Linked DNA regions of Struthio camelus. The protein of the gene in region 2 interacts with the protein of the main gene of each other region in a biochemical or structural test. Links are inferred from orthologs where the notes say so. Each region holds a gene or a part of one and is shown on either strand. Other genes may lie near its edges.

Region 1 (7,202 bases), on a different chromosome or scaffold from region 2:
TGAAATAATCTATTGCTTTCTATCAGAGTCATTCTGTAAGCAAAGATATCATAACTTTAAAGATTATAAGCTTTAAGAATCAGGTGCTAATTAAGTGTATCTGCAATTGTCTTGTTCTTCCATCCTCTGACCCAGCAGAGTAAGCAAATAACATTTTGAAAGTCTCAGTGTCAAGTAGGCAGATGTATGTATAGTAAAAGAAAAACAATACGGTCCTTCCTAAAAGGTAGTAATCAGTAAGATCTTATTTTGAACTCGGTGGTGCATCAAAGATTAAAACAGCACTTTTGTCGTTCTATTGAATTTGTAGTCAGTTATTTAATGTGCTGTAATTGCACAGGCTTCAGGGAACACTTCTGTAACAAAACTCAGTTACATAAATTGGCCACAAAGTTTAATATACATGGGAAATTGATTGGGCCAACTCTTACTATATTACATCAATATCGTTCCTTTTAGAACACTGCAACAAAAAGCATTTATTCAAAGCTGGGCACCAGCACCATAGTTGGAAGTTTTAAATCAAATATAACAAAAAAAAAAATTACAGAGGCAAATTATCTCTTCATTCCATCTTACCATGCTTTTTTCTACTCCTCTGAGTAACGGAAGCAAAATTTCCATTATATTTATCAGACCTCTAACAGCATACACTTTTAAGGCCTTTTAAAACATAACTTGGTTACTTCAGACCTCAGAGGGAATATAGCATTTGAAGGCTCCTCAGAAAATGCTCTGCCAGCATTTTCATTCACCTTTGTAAAGAAGAGCCAATGACTTTTGGACTTCTGCTAATTCTAAATTATGGTAATGTGGCACAGGAAGAGAAGTATGTTAGAAGGCTGCTAACTAACCCATACAGTGCATTGGGACCTGCTAGTGTCCTAAAGGTATACTTCACTCCTGAGAAGATGCAGACTGCCGGGTATGTTCTTCAGCTATATGACTGTCCCACAATATAATCACGCAAGAGCAAACAGAAATCTTCCATACTATTGGTAGGACTATCAAAATGAATATTTCAAATGCATAACAAAGGCTTTCTCATTATTCATTTTAGAGTATAACCTAGGAACAATCCGAATACAAACGTTTGTATTTATTTTTACATAAGTTCACTCTTAGGAGTTCTTTGCTTGCAACCCAGAAGAGCCATTTACCTCTAGAACATGGCATTAATATCACCAGACCCAGAAATACAAGATAACAGATCAAACAAAAGTAAATGTGACTACTTTTGTGCTCATTGTTTTCACTACTCAAGCTGTAAAACACAAACAGTAAGATGAACAATTCAGGCTTTAGATGGAGGATTGTAAAAGAGGTTTAAACTACAATCAGTAGCAAAGATTTCACATTTGTATGGTATCCCCCTTAAATATGTAGCAAAGCCATGAAGTACATGGAACTAAAGGTTAAAATTGAAAATTTTGAAGAGGCTGACTACACGTAAGCCATTTTTGTGACATAATCAGAAAAGCATACACCTTTTAACTATAACTGACACTAAACTAACAACTGATTGAAACAAGCAGTACACTCAACTCAGGCTGGAAGAAGAGCTTAGTATACTAAGTTACTTTTTCAGTAATGAAGTTTAGGAGGAAGGAAAGAGCATTCAAATTAGACTCAATGAACTGTAAAGTACTTCAGTAAACCACTATCCTTGGTGTATGTGTGCATGCACCCACGTGTGTGTACACATATACATACATATATACATAAACACAGGCCTACAGAAGATCTGTCTTCAGTGTTTTACAGTACACTGAATCTAATCTTTAGTCAGCCACAGTACACGTGTGTGTGCGCATACACATATGTGCAATGGCTTACTTAAGATTAGAATATACACACATTAAAATCTATCCCTGTGCTAGATAGCCAAGCAACTGCTAACAATGGCTTTAGAATACAAGTGACACTTCATTCTCTGACACATGTATTAATTAGAGATATTGCCCTATCCTTAATTTCACAGCTAGACAGCACAAAATACTGTTCTTCAAATAAACTTTTGCCAGGACAACAGCTTGAACTATCAGTGAAATACTCAAACAAAGCCAGGCTCTACGAATTTCTCCTGAACATCACAAAAGTAACAAGCTATACAGAGGAGTCCATTTACTTCTTACCTAAGAGGAAAGCATAAGCCACCCGGCTAGATCAGCGAAGATCAAGACAGCTACCACGCAATCAGTTAACCGGGCAAGAAAAACATACTGCCCTCCCGAGCGGAGAGGAGACCGCTGCCATCCCACCTCAGCTCAACTCAGCCCAGCCCTCAACAGCCCCCGCACCGCCACCGACCGCCCCGAGGCAGCCTAAGGGAGGGGAAGCAAGGCCAGCCTGCGCAGGGCGGACGAGAACAGGGAAGGGCACCGGGATTTTCCGCGAAGACAAGCGAGCAGCTCGGCCGGGCTGAGGCAGCCCCCCTCAAGCACACAGCTCCGCGGCGGGCCCCTGCCGAAGCCAAATCCCCCCCTCCCTTCCCGGGGAGGGGCGGCTATCGCGGAGGGGGCAGGAGGGAGGGAGGGAAAAGACAGGGTCGTGCCCGGGCCCGGGCCCACATCACTGCTGGAGAAACGCGAGGCGATCTCTGTCAGACCCTCACATTTGGAGTCGCGTAGGCCCCAAAAAAGGGGGGGAGGGGAGTAGTAGAAAAAAGAAGGGGGGAGGGGGAAAAAAAGGCGAAGGGGCGGGGATGAAAGGGCTTCCGAGTGGGCTCACCTCCCCCTCCCCGCCACGGACCGACCCGGCGGCCGGGCCTCGCCGCGGCCGGCCGCACTCACCACTTGGTAGCGGCTGGCGGCCTGGTGGTGATCCATCCCGGCCGCCGGCGGACGCACACAGTGGCGCGGCCGCAGCTGCTCCGACCAGCCCGATCCTCGCTCAGCCCTTCCTCCCCGCCGCCCGCCCGCTCGCTCAACCGCTGTCGTCGTCGTCGTCGCTGCCGTCGCCGCCGCCGCCTCCTCCTCGCCCACTCCAGCGACGGAGCCGGTCGCCGCCGCCCCTCCCCCCGCTCCGCCGCGCCCCGCCCTCCACCAGGGGAGGGGCCACACCGCCCACCAACGCCTCCCTTCCTGCCGTTGGGCGGGGGGGGGGGGAAGAGGAGCGCGCTGCGGCCCCGCCCTCTGTGACGCGCCGGGGACCGACCGCCGCCGGGAGTGGGGGGGGAAGGGGACGGTGGGCGCGCGCGCCTCTGCGCAGGCGCGGGGCCGCTGGTCGGCCGTTGGGCGGGGTGTTGGGGGGAAGCGTGGAGGTGTTTAAACGGGCGTGCCCTGCCTGGTGGGGGAAACGTATGGGTTTGTCCGTCTTCTCTGCCGTTATGCGAGGCGCAGCGATTTGCGCCTCGGTGTAACCCCCGCCGCCGGAGCTGCTCGGGGAGTGGAGCTGACGGCGTTGCTGGCGTTGGCAGCGCGGCAGCCCCAGGGGCTGTGCTGAGCGCCCTGCCACCAAGGCCCTGCCGGGCGCTGGCCCTGCTGGCTGGTGTCCCCAGCCCTTCTCGGGGTGGGTGTGTACGCTCAGCCCCTCACAGGGTTTGTGCGCCGCTGCCCTTTCCCCCTCTTTTCGGTAGTATTTTTCCTCCTTCTGCACTATCAGCAAGGCTATTCTGTCCACAAAGCATGCGTAGCCTAGCAGCTTATCCCCATCAGGCACGAATAAATAAATAAGGAATAAAGTAGACATCCTTGAGGCCTAGAAGATGATCTGGAGTAGGAATCTTTCTGTACTAATTTTAAGTCAAGAACCTATTTGTCTTCTGTTCCTTTGAAAATTCAAGGCAAAAGCACCATTCTCTGAGAGGAGGAGGAGGAGGAGGAGAAAAACGTTGTGATCTTCTCCTTCACTCGTCTTTCTAAAACTGTAAATGTTTATGTATTGATGTAACACTGATGACCTCCTGGGGTAAAAACAGTGAAAACTTTCACCCTGGTGGCCTGTCAGATCAGTACGACTCCTTCCTAGGTTCCCAAACTGTCAGATACGCAGTCGTAGTTTAAAACAATTTCCAAACAGCTGGGCATACAGCTCCGAGCCATAGTAGAAAGGAGCGTTTGTATGGGGGGGGGGGGTATAGCAGATCCCTAGGATAAACACTCTCATGAAAGCAGATTCTTGCTATCAGTAATGGCTCATGGCAGAACTTTGTCCCGTATAGCCCAGATCACTGCCTTTATCCAGACAGCCTGCTTGTTCGGAGGCTGACCTGAGCGGCAGGCTAAGCGTTGTCACGCAGGCGGTCATTAGCCTGGATAAGGACTTGCAGGAGTGGAGTTTAAGCCCTAGTATGTGTGTGTAGGAGGGCAGAGAAGTGGAGAGCTGGGGGTTGGTTTCGAGGTGGGGGTGGGAGTGAAGGTACACAGGGAGGAGGGAGCGGGAGCATGATGTGCCCAGGACCTCACTTGAAGCCCATCTCTGGCTACCACAACGGTTATTAATAAGCAAACAGACCAAGTTTTGGGAACTTACACGGCCTACTCTTGTTTGTTGCATTTCTTATGTTCCTCATTGAACAACTTGGTTGTGCATAAAAAGGCCTAACAGTCTAGAAACAAAGTTGGCAGAGAAATACAGGTTAGAAATGGACTAATGTTATTATTTTCCTGGCAGGATTTCCTCCCTTTTCCTCTTTACCTCTATACATAATGAAAGTTTCTGTGTTTAATTATTCTGTCTTAAAGGGAAGATTTATTAGTACAGGTCATGTTAAGTTTAAGAATAGCATGTACAGAGTACTGTACTGTGCTTCTGTTACCAAATAGAAGGAAAACCTCTTAATTGTATTATCAGATTTCATGGGAAAGGGAATTTAGACCATTCATATAATAGGTTTAATTTCTAGTGTCTTCTATACTGTTAGAAACAAACTTCCCAAAAGTAGACAGTTTTTAAAGTGTTCAATGTCACATCTGAGTCCAGGAAGATGTTTTCTGGAAAGTGTTGCGTTAATCAGAAATGGAGTTTTGAACAAGTGAAATTTTGAAAATGCTGTCTGACCTCCACATTTTCTTTTCTATGTTTTGTACCTCAGCTCTATTGAATAAAGATGCCTAGAAGCTCCCAGTTGGACACCAGGTGAGTTCTGCTAATAGCTGCCAAAGAACATTTCGCTCTGTAAATATTTAAACAGAATACAAACACACACAACACAGCAACTGAGTAAGCATTTAGTAAGAAGCAAGTTGTAGTTTTAAATTAAAATATACATATATATATATATATTTTTTTTTTTTAAGGAAAGAAAAGACAGCAGATAGGACCACAATGTCTTTAACAAGGAAATTACAAAATATTTCACAGAAGCTGGCAAAAAGATTCAGTAGAGGAATACTGCGTGTGTAGGAAGGGAGCTGCATGCTTAAGGATGAACTTTGGATGCGTGCTACAGCTTAAGAGATGTATAGAAACTCAACTTCTTATTCTTTAGCAGTATTATAAATGCATCCTTAAAACAGACAGTATGGCTTTTGACTCTGAATATGTCCGTCTTTCAGTTCTTGCTCTTTCTGGAATGCTGTAACTCTTCTTTTTAAAGCCACGTAACTGTGTGGGTGGCTGTGTTATTGCACTGATAGAAGGCTAAAAAGGAAGGTCATACGTTCCTGAAAGATATTGTTATTGTCAAAATAGTGTTATCAATATATTTTAACTGCCTTGTTCTAGAGATTTTGTCTATGGCATAATATTAATCTACAGCACAAAGTAATCAGCAAGCACTAAGGCACCTGTAAATGTACACTGAAAGTGAGAAATATGTATTTCAGAACAGTTAGAACTTTATTGCCTAGATAACCAAATCATGTTGATTAAAATATTTGAATAATACAAGTTTTAATATTTATTTTTTTCTGTGTGACCTCCTTAAACCACGGTATACAGTGACAGTAATGGTTATCACTGTTTTCTGGATCATGTAGTAATTTGTTTATTGTGAAAGAGCTGTATTTATGGAAAGTGCTCAGTATGTAAAGAAAATAATGTCAAAATGACATTTAAAAGAAAGCATTGTTTTAGATTTGTTTTAGGAAAGAAGAAATCAATTTGCTTTTAGTCAGCAAGTTTACAACAGTTTAAACTTTGCTCTAACATGAAAATGAGCCAACAAAGGAATCTTTTTGGTAGTAATAACTGTTGCAATCTTAGTACCCTGAGAAGTTGACTTGGAAGCTGTGATCTGAATTCAGATACATCTGAACTTAATTACACAACTGCAAGCACTACAAGATTGTTAACAATTTTAAATTTATTTTTTCATTCATTATTCTATCAATGGTCAGCAAATAAGGAAGTGCTTCTTTACATGCATAAGTCTATTCAAATTTTTAATGTTTCTGATGGGAAAGAAACATTACACAGTGGGTAAACATCAGCACTAGGTCAATTTTATTTTAATAAACATACATAAGCAATATTGCATTTTATACTATTTTACTATTTGATACCGTTTAAGTCAATATTGTGCTTTCTATGCTGTATTGCTTACTATACTACGTAAAAAACCTAGAGAGAATGAAAGCTGTTCATTTATATCCAAAAAATGAAGACAAAAATAATTTTTGTAACTTAATTTTGCATCTTGAGCCTTGGTTTTCAAACCTATAATGCAAACAATGTCCCTGAGAAATAAGTAGATTTGTCCAAAGATAAATTTAAAGAAATTAATGTACTTATTTAATTTACTCATGGACTGACCTGAAATCAGGTCATAGATTTATTTACTGGCTGTATTTGTTTTCTTCACTGTTTGCAAACTATGTTTATAAATTATTTAATTTTAATTCTATGTTCTTGATTATATAAACTGCATAACAATTTTGATCTCTGTATGGATTTTGACAGCTACTCTAAGACGGAAGCTGACTAAAAGAAACCACTGGGACTGAATTTCTAAAAAAGAAATAATAGGAGGTTGGCTTGGTTTTCTTCATCTTTTCTTCTCCTTTTCTAGGCAGCACAGGCAATGCCAGAGCCATCATTAACAGGAACGCTAGGCTACTTTTAAGATTTCTTAGCTGAAAATAGAGTTTCAATTACATTACCATCATCTTTATTCATATGTAAATACATATGTATAGTCCTGCAGATCAGGTCCAAATATCACGCAGATATATCTGAACCAGCTTTAAATATAATTACTGCAGCACAGAGCTCAGGGTGGGAAACATCTCAGATATTTGCCTTGGTCTAGGATGGATTTT
Region 2 (8,012 bases):
CTTACCAAAAATCTAAACCTGAACAAGCTGAAAGTTTTGCATTCGGAAGTCTCTCAGCCAAAAAATCTTTAGCTGAGGACACCCTACCTCACAAGCACATTTAAGAACATCAGCAAAATCAGCGCTACTTTCACAAAGAAAAGCAGCAGTTGCATCCATCAACTTCTACAAATATGAACCAACACTTGGAACTATATCCAAAGGCAGACATATACTTGTATGCAATAACAGGAACAGTTACCCACTTCACAGGTCAAGACAAAGTCTGCAGCAGTTAATGCTCCCAACTGATTTTTTTTCAAGTGGCCTCAAGCAAAGTGCACGGAGAGAAAGTCTGACCTGAAGGTGGGAAACGCACTTTAAAGTGTTTCTTTCCTTTTCAAGGCAAGGTAAATGAGAGGAGAAAAATTAATCTTAAAAATCTTTGTAAAAGCTCTTTATTTTCCTGGATTGAGAAAGGAGTAATCTCTTTTGTCTTTTTTCTATATACTATTCCTGCAATGTAGAATAGTTTACAATAAAAACAGATTTTAGACACTTGATTAGTATTCAGTCTTGTTCTTCGATATAACTTCGTCAAAAAAAGCCGAACGGTACCAGGAATTGTGATCACTGGGCAACTATAATTTTGTTCCTACTGCATATTTATTTTAGCCTGCTACTGCGTATTTCATCTTGCCAGAACCTTTGATACAACCATAGGTCACACTTTCTAAGAGACAACAACTGTTGTTTACTAAGGAAACAAACCAGGTAGTATTCAACAAGCAACTATTCTGTATCTTCTTCTCTCTTCTTCTTTCAGCATGTGATCCCAGACCTTGTTTTGCACATACTGTTAAGACCCCATTCTGAATACAAAATTATTAATTCTCCTCATGGGCTGCTTTTCTAGTGCTCACTCTTTCAACATCCAAGTGAGCCACAAAAGTCCTACTGGTGACAGAATGGTATTATATCCATTTTATAGAATAAAAACTGAACCGGAAAAATTAAGACCAATTGCATTTGCTACAATTTGGCACTGAAATTCAGATACCTAAACACAGCATACACAATATCCAGCTGTATACACCGTGCCCTAAGCTACAGCTTCCTTCTGACCCCAGCCTCTTTGCCAACATTTTCATTGTGCCAGCAACATGATATTAACAGCCCCGTACTAAGGGTCTGAATGACTAATACACCATTAAGCAAGCTATCAGGGATAAATTCTGGAAGGGGGGGAGGGGGGGTGGAAGTCTCCAATGCTGCATTCAGCTGCCTCAACAATTAGACCAAGCCCTCCAGAGGTAAGCAGACAACTTCAAACCATATCCCAAGCAAACCTCTCTCGTGGAATGGGTCAAACAGCAGCCCCGCGGGAAAAGCAGGGTCCAGACATAAACTATGGAAAGGCTGCAGATCAAGGTGCAGGTGTACTGGTGTGGAGAAGGAGTTTACAGACAGCTCCTTGATACTACTTCTTTCTTTTCTGTATGGTTTGGTTTTCTAATTCTGTGTCTTTACTGTAATTCTGTGAAGGCAATTTTGCAGATTTAAACTCTGGGAAGAAAAAAAAGAAGAGAATCCAGGGAGATAGGAACTCTAGTTTTAATTCTAGCACCCTAGTCCAAAGCAGCTGGCAGCAGATTTTCTATAACCCAAAGACTATCCATTTTATCATTTGTGCACGTATAGTCATACACTGAAACTATGAAGAAAACCGCACATGTTCTTTAAGTGTTTATCAATATACAGCAACTGAATATCAAAGTCTCTGATGGTAAACAAACTGTGTTTTAAAAAACTGTAACTTGAGAAAGTGTGGCTAAGCTTTTAAGTTGTGGAAATAGTTAAATATGAAAGAATCGTTACATACAACTTTCTTTCCTCCCCCTCCCTCCAAAGACTTCATGTTCCAAAGGATGTAGGAAAAGTAGAATTGTTCAATTGTGAGCCGATTTCAAAATTTCTTCCCCACAGCAGGCAGGCTAAGCAACAATTAAGCTGGCTGAAATTTAATAAAATAAATTAAAATACAGAGCCTGAGGCATGGAATATTTCAGTCCAAGTGGATAGCCTCAGAAAGTTGCAAGCAACTGAAAACAGGATCTTCCAATGGAAGTGCTGGACAGCCCTAACAGCATGTTGGGCTAATTTTCTAGGAGAGTTCCTACCCCACTGAAGTTTTTAAGAAGAAAAATTAACTTATTAGAGCTTTTTGGTTACTTCTGGAGAAGTAATACACCAATTACAGCTAACAGACTTCAGGAAGACGTTAGCCTTCTGTCAGGCTAACAGACTAGGAAGAGTATTTCAAAGTTAAAAGAACAAAACAACCCTGCTAAGCCCGCAACAAAGGCGCGTTGACAGAGAGAACATCACCGAGGGACACAGAAAGAGCCGATCGAAGACAATCTTGGTGAAACGCCCTGCTGGCTCGAAAACAACAGTACCGACATGTCGCCCAGGTCACCGCACAGCTGTCTGAGGGAAAGCGCTGCGACTGAAGGGGGGAGCGGAAGGGGACAGGCCGCCCCCCCCCCCCCAACGCAGGTAACGCTCAGAACGAGCGGGCGCTGCTGGCCGAGGCCCGCGCCGCCCGCGCCCCGCTGCCTCCCCCGCGGCCGCCCCGCCCGCGCCACCCCAACCGCTCAGACAGCGGCTCCGACGCGGCCGGAAACAAAGGCTCGATCCGCCAGCGCTCCTCGCCCGCCCGGCGCGGTACCGACCGGGTCACCGCGCCCGCCCGCCCGGCGGAGGGGGCGGCACGGCGCTGCGGCAGCCTGCGCAGGGCCGCGCTGCCGCCCCGGCTCCGCGAGCGAGGCGGCGGCGGCGGGACCTGCCGGGCTCCGCTCCGCCGGGCCGGGCCGGGCCGGGCCGGGCCCACCCCGCGGGGAAGCCGCCGCCCGCCTTCCGGCGCGACGGGACGCGGGGAGAGCGGGGCGGCCCCGCCAGGCTCACCTCCTCGCCGGGCAGCCCGAACACCTCGACGGGAGAAGCCGCCATGACCGCGCCGGCGAGCCGAGCCCGCGCCCTCCCCGCCGCCGCCGCCGCCCCGCCCCGCCCCCTCCCCTGGCTTCGCCGCAGCGCGCGCGCCCTCCCCCGCCCTGATTGGCGGGAACCCCCCGCGCCGCGCCCACCCCCCGGGAGGCGGGCGCGCCTCCTGATTGGCGCCCGCTCCGCGGCCCACCCGGAGACGCGCGCCGGGCGGGGGGGCGCGCGCGGGCCCGCCCCGCCTCAGGGCCCGCCCGCCCGCCGCGACGGGCCTCTGCCCGCCCCGACGGGAGGAGGGTCCTGAGGCGGGGCCGAGCCTCCCCTGCCCCGCTCGAGCAGCTCGTCTGAGCTAACAAGAGATGAACGAAAGAAATCATCAGGGATTTTTCTTTTCTTTCCTTTTCTTTTTTTAAAAAGGTCTGCCTAACCCTGCTGTTTAGATCGTTGGTGTCTTTCCTGCACCTCTGAAGGCCAGGGGCTTCTCCTCAAGCCTCGAGGGTCCCTGCCTAACCACTTCATGTCCAGAGTGCCTTGGGGATCACAGAACTCGGTAAAAACTGGCAGAAGGAAAAGTAAGATTCATTGACATGAAGAAAAGCCTTTCCAGCCGGGCTGAGATGGTGTTGCCTTGCGAGGGCACTCAGCGGAGGAAGGAAGTTGCACATTGTGTAAGGAGCTGACCTGATGTAACAGCCAAGCCAGGAGAGCCTGAGAACACCAGAGGAGGAAAAGGGATAGCTTGCAAAAGCCTAGTTTGGAATCAATGTAACAGTGTCATAAAGACTTTCCTTTTTCTCAAAAAAAAAAAATCTCAAACTTACAAGCAACAGCAGCGTGTTGATGAGGGAGCATGTTAGCATTTCTGGTGAACGTCTGAGGTCATCCTCAAATTACCATTCAGTGGTGTTTCTGAGCAGTCTTTCTTTATATACATTCCCGTTTAAAGGGTCTAGTTCTGTGATATTTTTGCACGTGGTCTGAATTCATCCTGCCTTTCACAGTGCCCTGTGAATCACACAGGATTCCCTGCCCACTGGCCTTCCCCACCAGCAGAGGACAACTGGAAGAGCTGGGCTAGGAAAACTAAATAAAGCAGGGTGCTTTAGTCTGAGCTCTGTAGTTGTAAATGTTCGTACAAGCCTGAGCTAAGCTTCTCTGTGTACTGAGCAGGCTGTGAGCTAGAAAGCAGAGCTTCATTTCAGGAAGAACACATGGAAAACCATGTATGTAGCTAAGGGTGGGCAAACATAGCAGCACCTGTGCTGGCAGAAAATGAATTTCTTTCATCAGCTTTGAGCCCATCCAACCTGGCCCCTCACAAATCTACTTCTCTCATCAGATGATGAAAAACTTCTGCCCTTACCAAAACAAACACAGGCCCAGGCTCCTCTCTCTGAGCTATGCCCCTAGCAGACTGCAAAACATGCAGGTAGCTAACACGTTCCCGCCAGGGCTTGGGCAAGCCTGTGGTAGTTATCAATCACACATGTTTACACTCTCCTCCCAGGGCTAGCTGGAGGCTCTGAGAAAAAGCAGTCTCAGCAACAGGGCTAGACCACCCAAGACACTTGTTCTCTGACCAGTGAACCTGTACTCTCAATTGCTTGGAGCCTGACTGCTGTTTCATGTTATGGGAAAGGATCAGCCCTCAGGAGCTCACTGACAAGGTTGTGCAGGGTTTATATCCCATTCTCCAGGTCCATCATTTTGAGGTCTGTGGACAGAAAGCTTACAGCTCTAGCTGGTTAGCTCCAGATGATATGTGGTCATTGACCCTGGTGGTCAGTGATGCCTCATATGGTCTGTTTAAACCTTAGCTAAGGTAACTTTCAGGAAACTATGCATTTCATGCATCATTTACATTCTGCAAAACCTTAGTTCACCAACCATCAACAGAAAGTTGGTCATCTTCTTTAATGGATCTTGCTGCTCCTTGCTTCCAGCTTTTTCTCATCTGTTCACTTACAGGGTGGGTTCTGCAGCCGTCAGTTGTCTTTGCAGTCTTTCAGTTCTCGCCACGGAAGTGATAACAGAAAACAGCTTTCCGTATAGCTGGAGGAGGAGCTCTAGTCGCCCCATCTTCAGCTTCTATGTGAGTATCTGTCTGAGTCTATAATGTAGAGGGGATTAGCCTCTAGTTTAAGTTTTTGCTCCTCCAGTAGTCTGCTCAGCCTGGACTGTAGCCTATTGCTGCAGCATACACTGCTGGTTCCAGTAGAGTCTGGACCATCCATATTAATTTTTGCATTTGTACTTGCTTGTCTTTTGCTTCTTCTTCTTCTTCTTTTTTTTTTTTTTCCCTTTAATTACTGGTAAGAATTGCTGTGGACAGATCACAAGGGTCTGGACTGTGGACACACTGTTGTCTAGAAAGAGAGTTCTGTTGGTGAGACAGACTGATAGCTCCTAACATACATTTTGTCTCTGTGAAAAAGTACAGTTTTTTCTAATAATTGAGACTGAACTCTGCTGACAGAGACGGTAGCCAGTCCCAGGGATTCTCTCTATATATCCTATTTTCAAACTTTCTCACCTGATGTCGACAGCTTGTTATACCAGAAGAGACTAGCTGAGTCCTTGACCATTCTCAGGCTACTTATACAGCGGAGACTGGAAGGCAAGAGTAGTATATAACGGTGCCTTTTGTAGAGCTATCTGGGATTCTTTCTTGTAAGAGCTTCCTTCAGATAACTGACTCGATGGGCCCATGGCAGATCGATTGGTTCCATAAGCCTTAAACAAGGACTCTGCCTATCGGCCTTGCCAATGAATAGTCTAGATCCACCTTCCCTAACTGTGTTCTCTGCTGCACAGGATCTTTTTTAAGGCAACTTCTTTCATTAAGTAGTTCTGGGCAAGGTAAACATGCCTCCAAAGACAGAGCAAAACTATTCAAAAAGGACACTTCTATTACAACATAAACGCTTGTTTACTTGATAACATTACTCAGTAGACTTCCTAACTTCAGAAAAGGTGCTGTGTAGATTTCCCATGTTTTCCTAACGGATTGATAACCAGACATGCTGGTACCTTGGCCTGTTCTCCTCTCACCAGTTTACCAGTTATGAAAGGGCTAGTACCAGCCAGTGAGTATAGATCTGTTTTTGCCAGCATCAGTTCATCCATGTTCCAGAAATGAGTGTAGGGTATAACGTATGAAAAATCAGGTGAGTGCACTTAGACTGGTGAAAAACAGGCAATGTGGCCTTCAGGCAAGAGACAATAGTGTCGTAGTCGTGATAGTCAATGAATACGAACAAGGTAAATTCATATGGAGAAACAGTACCTTTTATTAGACCAACTGATAAAGTTTGGAAAAAAGACCCAGATAAGCTTTTGGGTAAATTCAAAAGAAACAGTCCCCTTCCTTCTCTGGGTCAAACCTCTAGACCTCTAACATTTTCTCTCTAAGTCTTGTTCACTTAGCCCTGCCTAAAGCACTCTTTCCCACCGCTAATTTAGAGGTATCGCCAAATTTAAGCAGGAAGGCTCCTGGGTGAATGCCAAGCAAAGATAATCTGCCTAAGTTGCAGCAGGCACAATTTCTTGGACCAGTTACTTTGTAAAGCACTCTTGTTGCTGTAATTGAGCCTAACGTTGATTAGTAAATTGTTCTTACAGCTTGCAAGAAAAACACATGGATTTGCTGCTGTTAAGCATGAATACGTGATTTTGCAGTGCTGCATCTTGCACTATGTCGTTAGTGTGCACAAACCCAGCCAGAGAGAAAGTATCAGACCCTGGAGGGCTGTTTCATCTGAATATACCCAACAGCTTGTTTTTTTGTTTTCCAAATTACATTAGTTAATCCAGTAAATAATGTTATTTTATTTCTCCATATAAATCTTCTACTACAACACTACTGTCATTTGCCTGAACTCTCCATTGTCCGTTTTTCTGAGGTTTAAGGCTCAGCTTTTCTGTACACTGGAAGTCTATGAGAAGAAGCGCTCTCAAGCAGCTTGAAGCTCCATTTAACAAGGATTTTGTTTGTGAAGATTTTACTAGCACAATAAAAGTAATTGGGCTTTTTTGTAAGCCATCAACACTCAAACATTAATTTCTGAGTAAGGCATCATTTCCAAAACTGCTGAATTTTAAACAGGATATTAGCCTACTCCATTTGTGATATTAAATTTTTAAAGGAGCAGATTGCAATACTGCCCCAAATTACTTCCCACTGATTTATTTTTGTGTGGAAAGACCACTGACTGTCCAGAGCAGGAGCAACAATACAGCCAAATCTCAAATCCATAGCTAGTCATCTGCTATCAGTAAGGCTTGTGTTTCCCATCTTGTTATGCAAAGGCATGCACACACTGAGAAAAGGTCTACATGCATTTTCAATGGGATCGAGAATTGTCTTCAGTAGCTCAGCAAGCCATCTAGCAGTTCACGCAAAATACAGTTTTAAGTTAAAATACTTCTCTTGTATCTAAAAATAGGGGAAAAATAAACTACAGCCTGTTTGTTAAGTATACATTCAGTTCTTACATAAGATACGTATCTTCAGCCTTTAATATTTTATAGTCTTTTGTAGTTACAGACTAATAGCAGAAGATATTTCTTCTGAGAGATCTTCTTTCTGCAAATAAATAATTTTCAGCTGGACAGAAAAACCTGCATTTGGATCGTTTGTGCGCAATGGAACGCTTTCTCCTACATCAAGACCATTAAAAACAAATGAATATTTAATCATCTCATTACTCTATCCCAGTAGCGAGTTCTCATCCCGTAGCAAATAAATTTGCCTTCTATTACTGTCTGAATTAACCTTCATTCACATGAAAGGCTGAAAAATTACGAATTTTTAATTTTTTCCCATTTCTTAAATGGTGGCATTTAGCCTGATAGACACAGTTAGTGGCCTGAATTTTATATTCATTTACAACATTTGGTTTGTTTCTTTCTTTGCACTAAATGTTTTTATGGCCTTAAGAGAATCCATACACTGTAATACTTGACTGCCTTGAAAAAAAATCCATTCACTGCAATACTTGATTGCCTTGAAAAAAAACCCACACTAGTGTTTG
Region 3 (7,045 bases), on a different chromosome or scaffold from region 2:
AAACTCTGTCACCCCGTTCTCCACCTCCTGTCATGAGCGCTGAAGAAGGCAAGGTGTGGCATGGTTTTGCCGGGACTCTGCTGCTGACCTCCCCCCACCGTGAACATCGACACTGAATTCCTGCCTTTTACCCTCAGTCTTGTAAGCAGTAGTTTTTCCCCGCATGGAGAACCTTAGCAATTTCCCCATGCCAGCTCAGTTTCTGTAAAAGCCACTTCTTCTGTTCATTGGGAACTTTAAATCAAAGCCTAAACTTTACAATTTCAATAACTTGAGAAAAATGCAGCCGAACAAAACCCAGCCTCGCATCTGCTCCTTGAGTCCCGAGGCGCCCTGCCAAGGAGCTGGAGTCGCCGGGCTGCTCCCGCGGCATGGCGGGGAGCAGCAGGTCCGCATGGTGCCTGCCCCTGACCCCTGTCCCCCTCTCCCCTGCGAGGCTGCTCCCTTCCTGCCCTGGCTCCCCTAGTGCCTCTCCTCCCTGCTCTGTCCCTCTGGCCCCGTCCGCTCCCTCTGACCCCAAACCCGGGTGGTTCTCCTCGCTGCCTAGTCCAGCCCCTGCAGGCTGCCCACAGCTCCAGCCCTCCTTCTTCCCCAGCCCTCCTTCCTCCCCTCCCTCTTTCCTCCCCCATCCTTCCCCTGACTCTATCCCTCCATCCACCCGTCCCTCTTTCCTTCCTATCCTTCCTCCTTCCCTGTCCTCTACATCCCTCCTTCCTTCTTCCCAGTCCTTCCCCATCTTCCCCCATGCCTCTTTCCTTCCCACGCCTCTTCCACCCCATTCTTCCCCATCCTCCCTTCCTCCTCCTTTCCCACCCCTCTTTCCTCCCCATCCTTCCTCCCCATCCCTCCTTCCTCCCCATCCTTCTTCCCTATCCTTCCCCATCGCTCCTTTCTCCCCATCCTTCCTGCCTTTTCTTCCTCCCCATCCTTCCCCTATCCTTCCTTCCTCCTCACCTTTTCCCCATTCCTCCTTTCTCCCCATCCTTCTTCCCCATCCTTCCTCCCCATCCTTTCCTCATCTCTCCTTCTTCCCCATCCTTCTTCCCCATCCTTCCCCCATCCCTCCTTCCTCCCCATCCTTTCCTCATCTCTCCTTCTTCCCCATCCCACCCTCCCCCTCATCCTTCCCCCATCCCTCCTTCCCCATCCCTCCTTCCTCCCCATCCTTCCCCATCTCTCCTTCCTCTGCATCCTTCCCCCATCCCTCCTTCCTCCCCATCCTTCTCCCTTTCCTTCCTCCCCATCTCGCTTTCCTTCCCCATCCTTCCTCCTCATTCCTCCTTCCTCCCCATCCTGCTCCCTTTCCTTCCTCCCCATCCCACCTTCCTTCCCCATCCTACCTTCCCCCATCCCTCCTTCCTCCCCATCCTTCCCCATCTCTCCTTCCTCCATATCCTTCCCCCATCCCTCCTTCCTCCCCATCCTTCTCTCTTTCCTTCCTCCAATCTCACCTTCCTTCCCCATCCTTCCTCCCCATCCTTCTCCCTTTCCTTCCTCCCAATCTCACCTTCCTTCCCCATCCTTCCTCCCCATCCTTCCTTCCTCCCCATCCTTCTCCCTTTCCTTCCTCCCTGTCCCTCCTTCCTCCCCATCCTTCTCCCTTTCCTTCCTCTCTATCCCTCCTTCCTCCCCATCCTTCCTTTCTCCCCATCCTTCTCCCTTTCCTTCCTTCCCATCCCACCTTCCTTCCCCATCCTTCCTCCCCATTCCTCCTTCCTCCCCATCATTCCTCCCCATCCTGCCTTCCTCTGCATCCTTCCCCCATCTCTCCTTCCTCCGCATCCTTCCCCCATCTCTCCTTCCTCCCCATCCTTCCCCCATTCCTCCTTCCTCCCTATCCTTCTCCCTTTCCTTCCTTCCCATCCCATCTTCCTTCCCATCCTTCCCCCATCCCTCCTTCCTCCCCATCCTTCTCCCTTTCCTTCCTTCCCATCCCACCTTCCTTCCCATCCTTCCCCCATCCCTCCTTCCTCCCCATCCTTCCCCCATCCCTCCTTCCTCCCCATCCTTCTCCCTTTCCTTCCTTCCCATCCCATCTTCCTTCCCATCCTTCCCCCATCCCTCCTTCCTTCCCATCCTTCTCCCTTTCCTTCCTTCCCATCCCTCCTTCCTCCCCATCCTTCCCCCATCCCTCCTTCCTCCCCATCCTTCTCCCTTTCCTTCCTTCCCATCCCTCCTTCCTCCCCATCCTTCCCCCATCCCTCCTTCCTCCCCATCCTTCTCCCTTTCCTTCCTTCCCATCCCTCCTTCCTCCCCATCCTTCCCCCATCCCTCCTTCCTTCCCATCCTTCCCCCATCCCTCCTTCCTTCCCATCCTTCTCCCTTTCCTTCCTTCCCATCCCTCCTTCCTTCCCATCCTTCCCCCATCCCTCCTTCCTTCCCATCCTTCTCCCTTTCCTTCCTTCCCATCCCATCTTCCTTCCCATCCTTCCCCCATCCCTCCTTCCTCCCCATCCTTCTCCCTTTCCTTCCTTCCCATCCCTCCTTCCTCCCCATCCTTCCCCCATCCCTCCTTCCTTCCCATCCTTCCCCCATCCCTCCTTCCTTCCCATCCTTCTCCCTTTCCTTCCTTCCCATCCCTCCTTCCTCCCCATCCTTCCCCCATCCCTCCTTCCTCCCCATCCTTCTCCCTTTCCTTCCTTCCCATCCCTCCTTCCTCCCCATCCTTCCCCCATCCCTCCTTCCTCCCCATCCTTCTCCCTTTCCTTCCTTCCCATCCCATCTTCCTTCCCATCCTTCCCCCATCCCTCCTTCCTTCCCATCCTTCCCCCATCCCTCCTTCCTTCCCATCCTTCTCCCTTTCCTTCCTTCCCATCCCTCCTTCCTTCCCATCCTTCCCCCATCCCTCCTTCCTTCCCATCCTTCTCCCTTTCCTTCCTTCCCATCCCATCTTCCTTCCCATCCTTCCCCCATCCCTCCTTCCTCCCCATCCTTCTCCCTTTCCTTCCTTCCCATCCCTCCTTCCTCCCCATCCTTCCCCCATCCCTCCTTCCTCCCCATCCTTCTCCCTTTCCTTCCTTCCCATCCCTCCTTCCTCCCCATCCTTCCCCCATCCCTCCTTCCTCCCCATCCTTCTCCCTTTCCTTCCTTCCCATCCCTCCTTCCTCCCCATCCTTCCCCCATCCCTCCTTCCTCCCCATCCTTCTCCCTTTCCTTCCTTCCCATCCCTCCTTCCTCCCCATCCTTCCCCCATCCCTCCTTCCTTCCCATCCTTCTCCCTTTCCTTCCTTCCCATCCCTCCTTCCTCCCCATCCTTCCCCCATCCCTCCTTCCTCCCCATCCTTCTCCCTTTCCTTCCTTCCCATCCCTCCTTCCTCCCCATCCTTCCCCCATCCCTCCTTCCTCCCCATCCTTCTCCCTTTCCTTCCTTCCCATCCCTCCTTCCTCCCCATCCTTCCCCCATCCCTCCTTCCTTCCCATCCTTCTCCCTTTCCTTCCTTCCCATCCCTCCTTCCTCCCCATCCTTCCCCCATCCCTCCTTCCTCCCCATCCTTCTCCCTTTCCTTCCTTCCCATCCCTCCTTCCTCCCCATCCTTCCCCCATCCCAATTTCCTCCCCATCCTTCCCCCATCCCTCCTTCCTCCCCCTCCCTCCTTCCTCCCCGCTCCCCACCCCCTCTCCTCCCCCGGTTCCTCCCCCCGCTCCGCCGCCGCTGGCCGGCAGGGGGCGCCGCGGTGCCGATGCCGGTGCCGGTGCCGGCGGCTGGGCGGGCCGGGCCGGGCCGGGGCGGTGCCGGCGGCGGGGCGGGGCGGGCGGCGGCACCGCCCCGCGCTCCCCCCCCGCCCCGCTCTCCCCCCGCCTGCGCGGGGCTGCGCGGGGCGGCACCGAGCACACGGCGGCGGCACCGCCGAGCCGGGCAGCCTGGGAGCGGCGGCGGCCGGCGGGGAGGGCAGCGGCGCGCCGCCGCGGCGCGGAGCGCACCGAGCACCATGGCCCTGGCCGCGGGGAGTGCTCACGCGGGGACTAAAACTCTGTGGATACAATGAAGTGAATCTGGGACTCTTGGTTTAGCGGGGAAAATTAAATAAACCAATGTAAGTTCCTCTTTTTTGCTTGTTCGCTAATAAAAAGGACGCCACGAAGAAGTCCGGTTCGAAGCGTGCCTGAGGAGGAGGAATTTCCCCTTGCCCTGCTTGGAGACCCAAACTTTCCCCGCTAGCCGGGAGAGCCGGTAGCGCCGCGTCCCGCTCCCCTTCCCCCGCGCCCCTCGCCGGGTGCCGCTTCGGGCCGTCCCGCGTGGGGAGGGTGGCGGGGAGGCTGGCGCGGCAGGTGCGAGAAGCGGCCGGCGGAGCGGCCAGGCTCGCCCCCCGGGGTGCTAAGGCTGAGGTTTGGCTGCTGAGGGGTAACTCTTGCTGCGAGTCGAGCTGGTTTCCCTCGGGCTTCTGCATCTGAAACTGCCGCTGATAATAATAATTAATAATAATAATGATAGTAATAATAATAACAATAGCAACAACACGGAGGATACTCAGCAAATAGTTTGGTGAATGTAATGTGGTAGCAGATGTGTTTGAACGGAAATTTAGTAGCACATTGGGAAGGGAAGAAATTAATTCGGGGGGGTATTTCCATGGTGGCAAGGAAAATTTATCATTCTTCTATAAGACTATTACTGATATTATTTGTTGTAAGAACTGACATAATATATTATGTGTATATGTCGCTCACTTCAAAGGGCTGCCCCTTGGAGGCCCTGCTTTAAATATATGGATTTTTTAACCAGCCCAAATCAAAAACTCTACTTGACTTGTACAAATAAAAGAAAAGCACAGAGAGCTGTGCTGCGCTCTGGCAAGGTGATCATGATTTTATCAAGACAGCCTAGAGGGGAACAGGGACATACTCGGAGCACCGTACGAGATAACGAAATCTGAATTAAAACAAAACTTACGCAACCAGACTGTGACTGCAATGGGAATATTTTTTTTTTTCCCCCTGGGAGATTGGGATGAGGAGGAGGAGGAGGAGATGAGCTTCTAAAAAGCAGAGGTGCACACAGGCGACACACGCACAGCAACAGGTCTCATTTTGCCTGGAAAGGAGGAGTTGAGGTTAGCGGGTGCTTCAGCTGAGCCTTTCCAGCTGTGCCCGGGGCAGGTGCTGACCCCGGAGACGGGTGCCGGGAGCGAACCTGGTGGCCCCCATGTCCCCCACCTCCCGGGGGACCAACAACTCTTCCTGAAAGACCGGTCATAAACACTGCGATTCAAAGAGGATTTGTCAATACTAAAAATAAACAGGCCCGCAGATGTGTCCTGTAGGGTCATGTGCGGTTTCAACACTTTCAGGGCTGCTCTGCTGATTTCCCCATTTTGCGTGTGTGTGTGCCTGTGTCCTGTCCAAGGTGCTGAAGTGCATTTTGCTGTCATTTCCGAGGATTTAAGGGTTTTGCACAGGTGATTGCTGCAGGCTTCCTCTCGTGTTAAAGCGGTGCAGTTTGAGTTGGAGGGTACCTCCTGGGTGGTGCCAAGAGGAAGCAGGGATGTGTTTTCAGACACGTATATTTGATCCGTCCTTTTGGCGTGGGAAAGCAGGCCAGGTGGAGTCGCAGATGGATCCGGCAGATCCTATAAGCTTTTGGTGGCAGAGAATTGAAAAGGTCAGAGCTGCAGGGCAGTGGGGAGTGGATCTCCCTTTGTGCTAATGGGCCAAAAACGTGGTGCATTTGAGGATGTTGCTGCTGTTGGTTTGAGTATGTTGCCTTCAGTGAGACATTAGCTGGTTCCAAAAAAACAGAGGGAAGCTCCATGTCGGGGACGGGATGGGATGAGAATGATACAAATGGGATGGGAGTGATGATTTTGGAAATACTCTTTTCTGGTGTAAGCCTTTTCATATGGTTACCAAAGTTGAACGGGACCTTTAGAAACAGAGGCTACTTAAGAAAAGAGTCTATTTTGGGGGGTAAGTGTCTGAACAAGTGAACAATATAAATGGAAGCCCGTGGTGCAAGTTGTGATATTTTTAGATTTATGCCAAAATATCTGAGTAGTATGTAATTCTTTGTATGAAACGGATCACAGTGTTGCCAGAAATAATCACAGAAGAATATGATACTTAACTTGTACATGATTGGAGATCGGTGTTGTGACATGTGGTTTTTCTCAGTTCTTGATATTAATCTGAAGCTATCCATAATACAGTTTGTACTTCTGTCTGAGACTCTCAAGGGGCTCTGCAACCACAAAGGGTCAAATTCTGATACCCATGTTCGCATGGAGAAGTAGTTTACACTGCAAGGAGTGCTGCAGATTTAAAGCATGCCAAAACTCTGTACAGTATGATAGAGAACTGATATTGTTTCATACCCTCATTTCAGAGGAGGTTAAATCATTTGTCAGAGATCGCAGAGGAATTCAGTTACATCATTGGGTATGTAACCCAAATACTTTGACCATGAAGGGTGTATGTAGACCATGAGGCTTCCTCACTCTGAATGACAGCTTATGGGTACAGTGTTTAAAAGTGTTTCACTGTTGAAAGCGCTGTTTTCCTGACATGTATCATCAGAGATGTCCCTGTGCTCGCTGTGATAGAAAAACACCTGCAGGACCAGCTAACACCTCCCAGGACTTCTGCAGGCCGCAGAAAACCGTGGAGTAGTTGCTGGGTCACAAAAAACTGTGGAGTAGTTGCTATGTTCTTGCTTCAACTGTATGCTCAAAATTATATCTAAAAATGTATTGCTAGGGAATGGAGTCCTGAATGAAACAGGAGATTTAGGAAACATAGCTATTTAAAAAAAAAATCCTGTATATGACATTAGAAGAGGATTGATACCTTATTTTCTTTTCCTTTTCATGAGCATTTTCTCTCTAGTATCTTGAAGGAATGTTCTGCACATGTATGTGAGGAAAGATCATGTGAGGTCGCATGATAAGGCATGTTGGGCTAGTGTTTGGAAATCCTGGTTATGCTTTTCTGAAGGGACAGGTTATCATCTGGTATCACCTTAGATGCCTTCGTATTTGGAAGCTCAGTTTGAAAGATATGAAAGAGACTTGTTGTTTTCAGAAGGTGCATGCTCATTTCTTCCTAAAAATTG

What was found. The genes of interacting proteins can lie anywhere in the genome.
Region 1: the proteins of NEDD4 (region 2) and NDFIP2 form a complex in vitro, tested with the Homo sapiens proteins (3 studies listed by BioGRID, with this or other methods). The link is inferred for Struthio camelus from reciprocal best matches to the Homo sapiens genes NEDD4 and NDFIP2.
Region 3: the proteins of NEDD4 (region 2) and sodium channel protein type 5 subunit alpha form a complex in vitro, tested with the Homo sapiens proteins (3 studies listed by BioGRID, with this or other methods). The link is inferred for Struthio camelus from reciprocal best matches to the Homo sapiens genes NEDD4 and SCN5A.

The regions. Positions count from the first base shown.
Region 1 is NC_090942.1:175,522,647-175,529,848, forward strand, and holds the start of NDFIP2 (NEDD4 family-interacting protein 2), read right to left. Parts: upstream 3,081-7,202; 5' UTR 2,829-3,080; coding exon 2,793-2,828; intron 1-2,792. UniProt on the Homo sapiens protein: Activates HECT domain-containing E3 ubiquitin-protein ligases, including ITCH, NEDD4, NEDD4L, SMURF2, WWP1 and WWP2, and consequently modulates the stability of their targets. As a result, may control many cellular processes.
Region 2 is NC_090953.1:16,358,325-16,366,336, forward strand, and holds the start of NEDD4 (E3 ubiquitin-protein ligase NEDD4), read right to left. Parts: upstream 3,046-8,012; 5' UTR 2,992-3,045; coding exon of another isoform or gene 2,947-2,991; intron 1-2,946. UniProt on the Homo sapiens protein: E3 ubiquitin-protein ligase which accepts ubiquitin from an E2 ubiquitin-conjugating enzyme in the form of a thioester and then directly transfers the ubiquitin to targeted substrates. Specifically ubiquitinates 'Lys-63' in target proteins.
Region 3 is NC_090943.1:7,057,741-7,064,785, forward strand, and holds the start of sodium channel protein type 5 subunit alpha, read left to right. Parts: upstream 1-3,965; 5' UTR 3,966-4,034; intron 4,035-7,045. UniProt on the Homo sapiens protein: Pore-forming subunit of Nav1.5, a voltage-gated sodium (Nav) channel that directly mediates the depolarizing phase of action potentials in excitable membranes.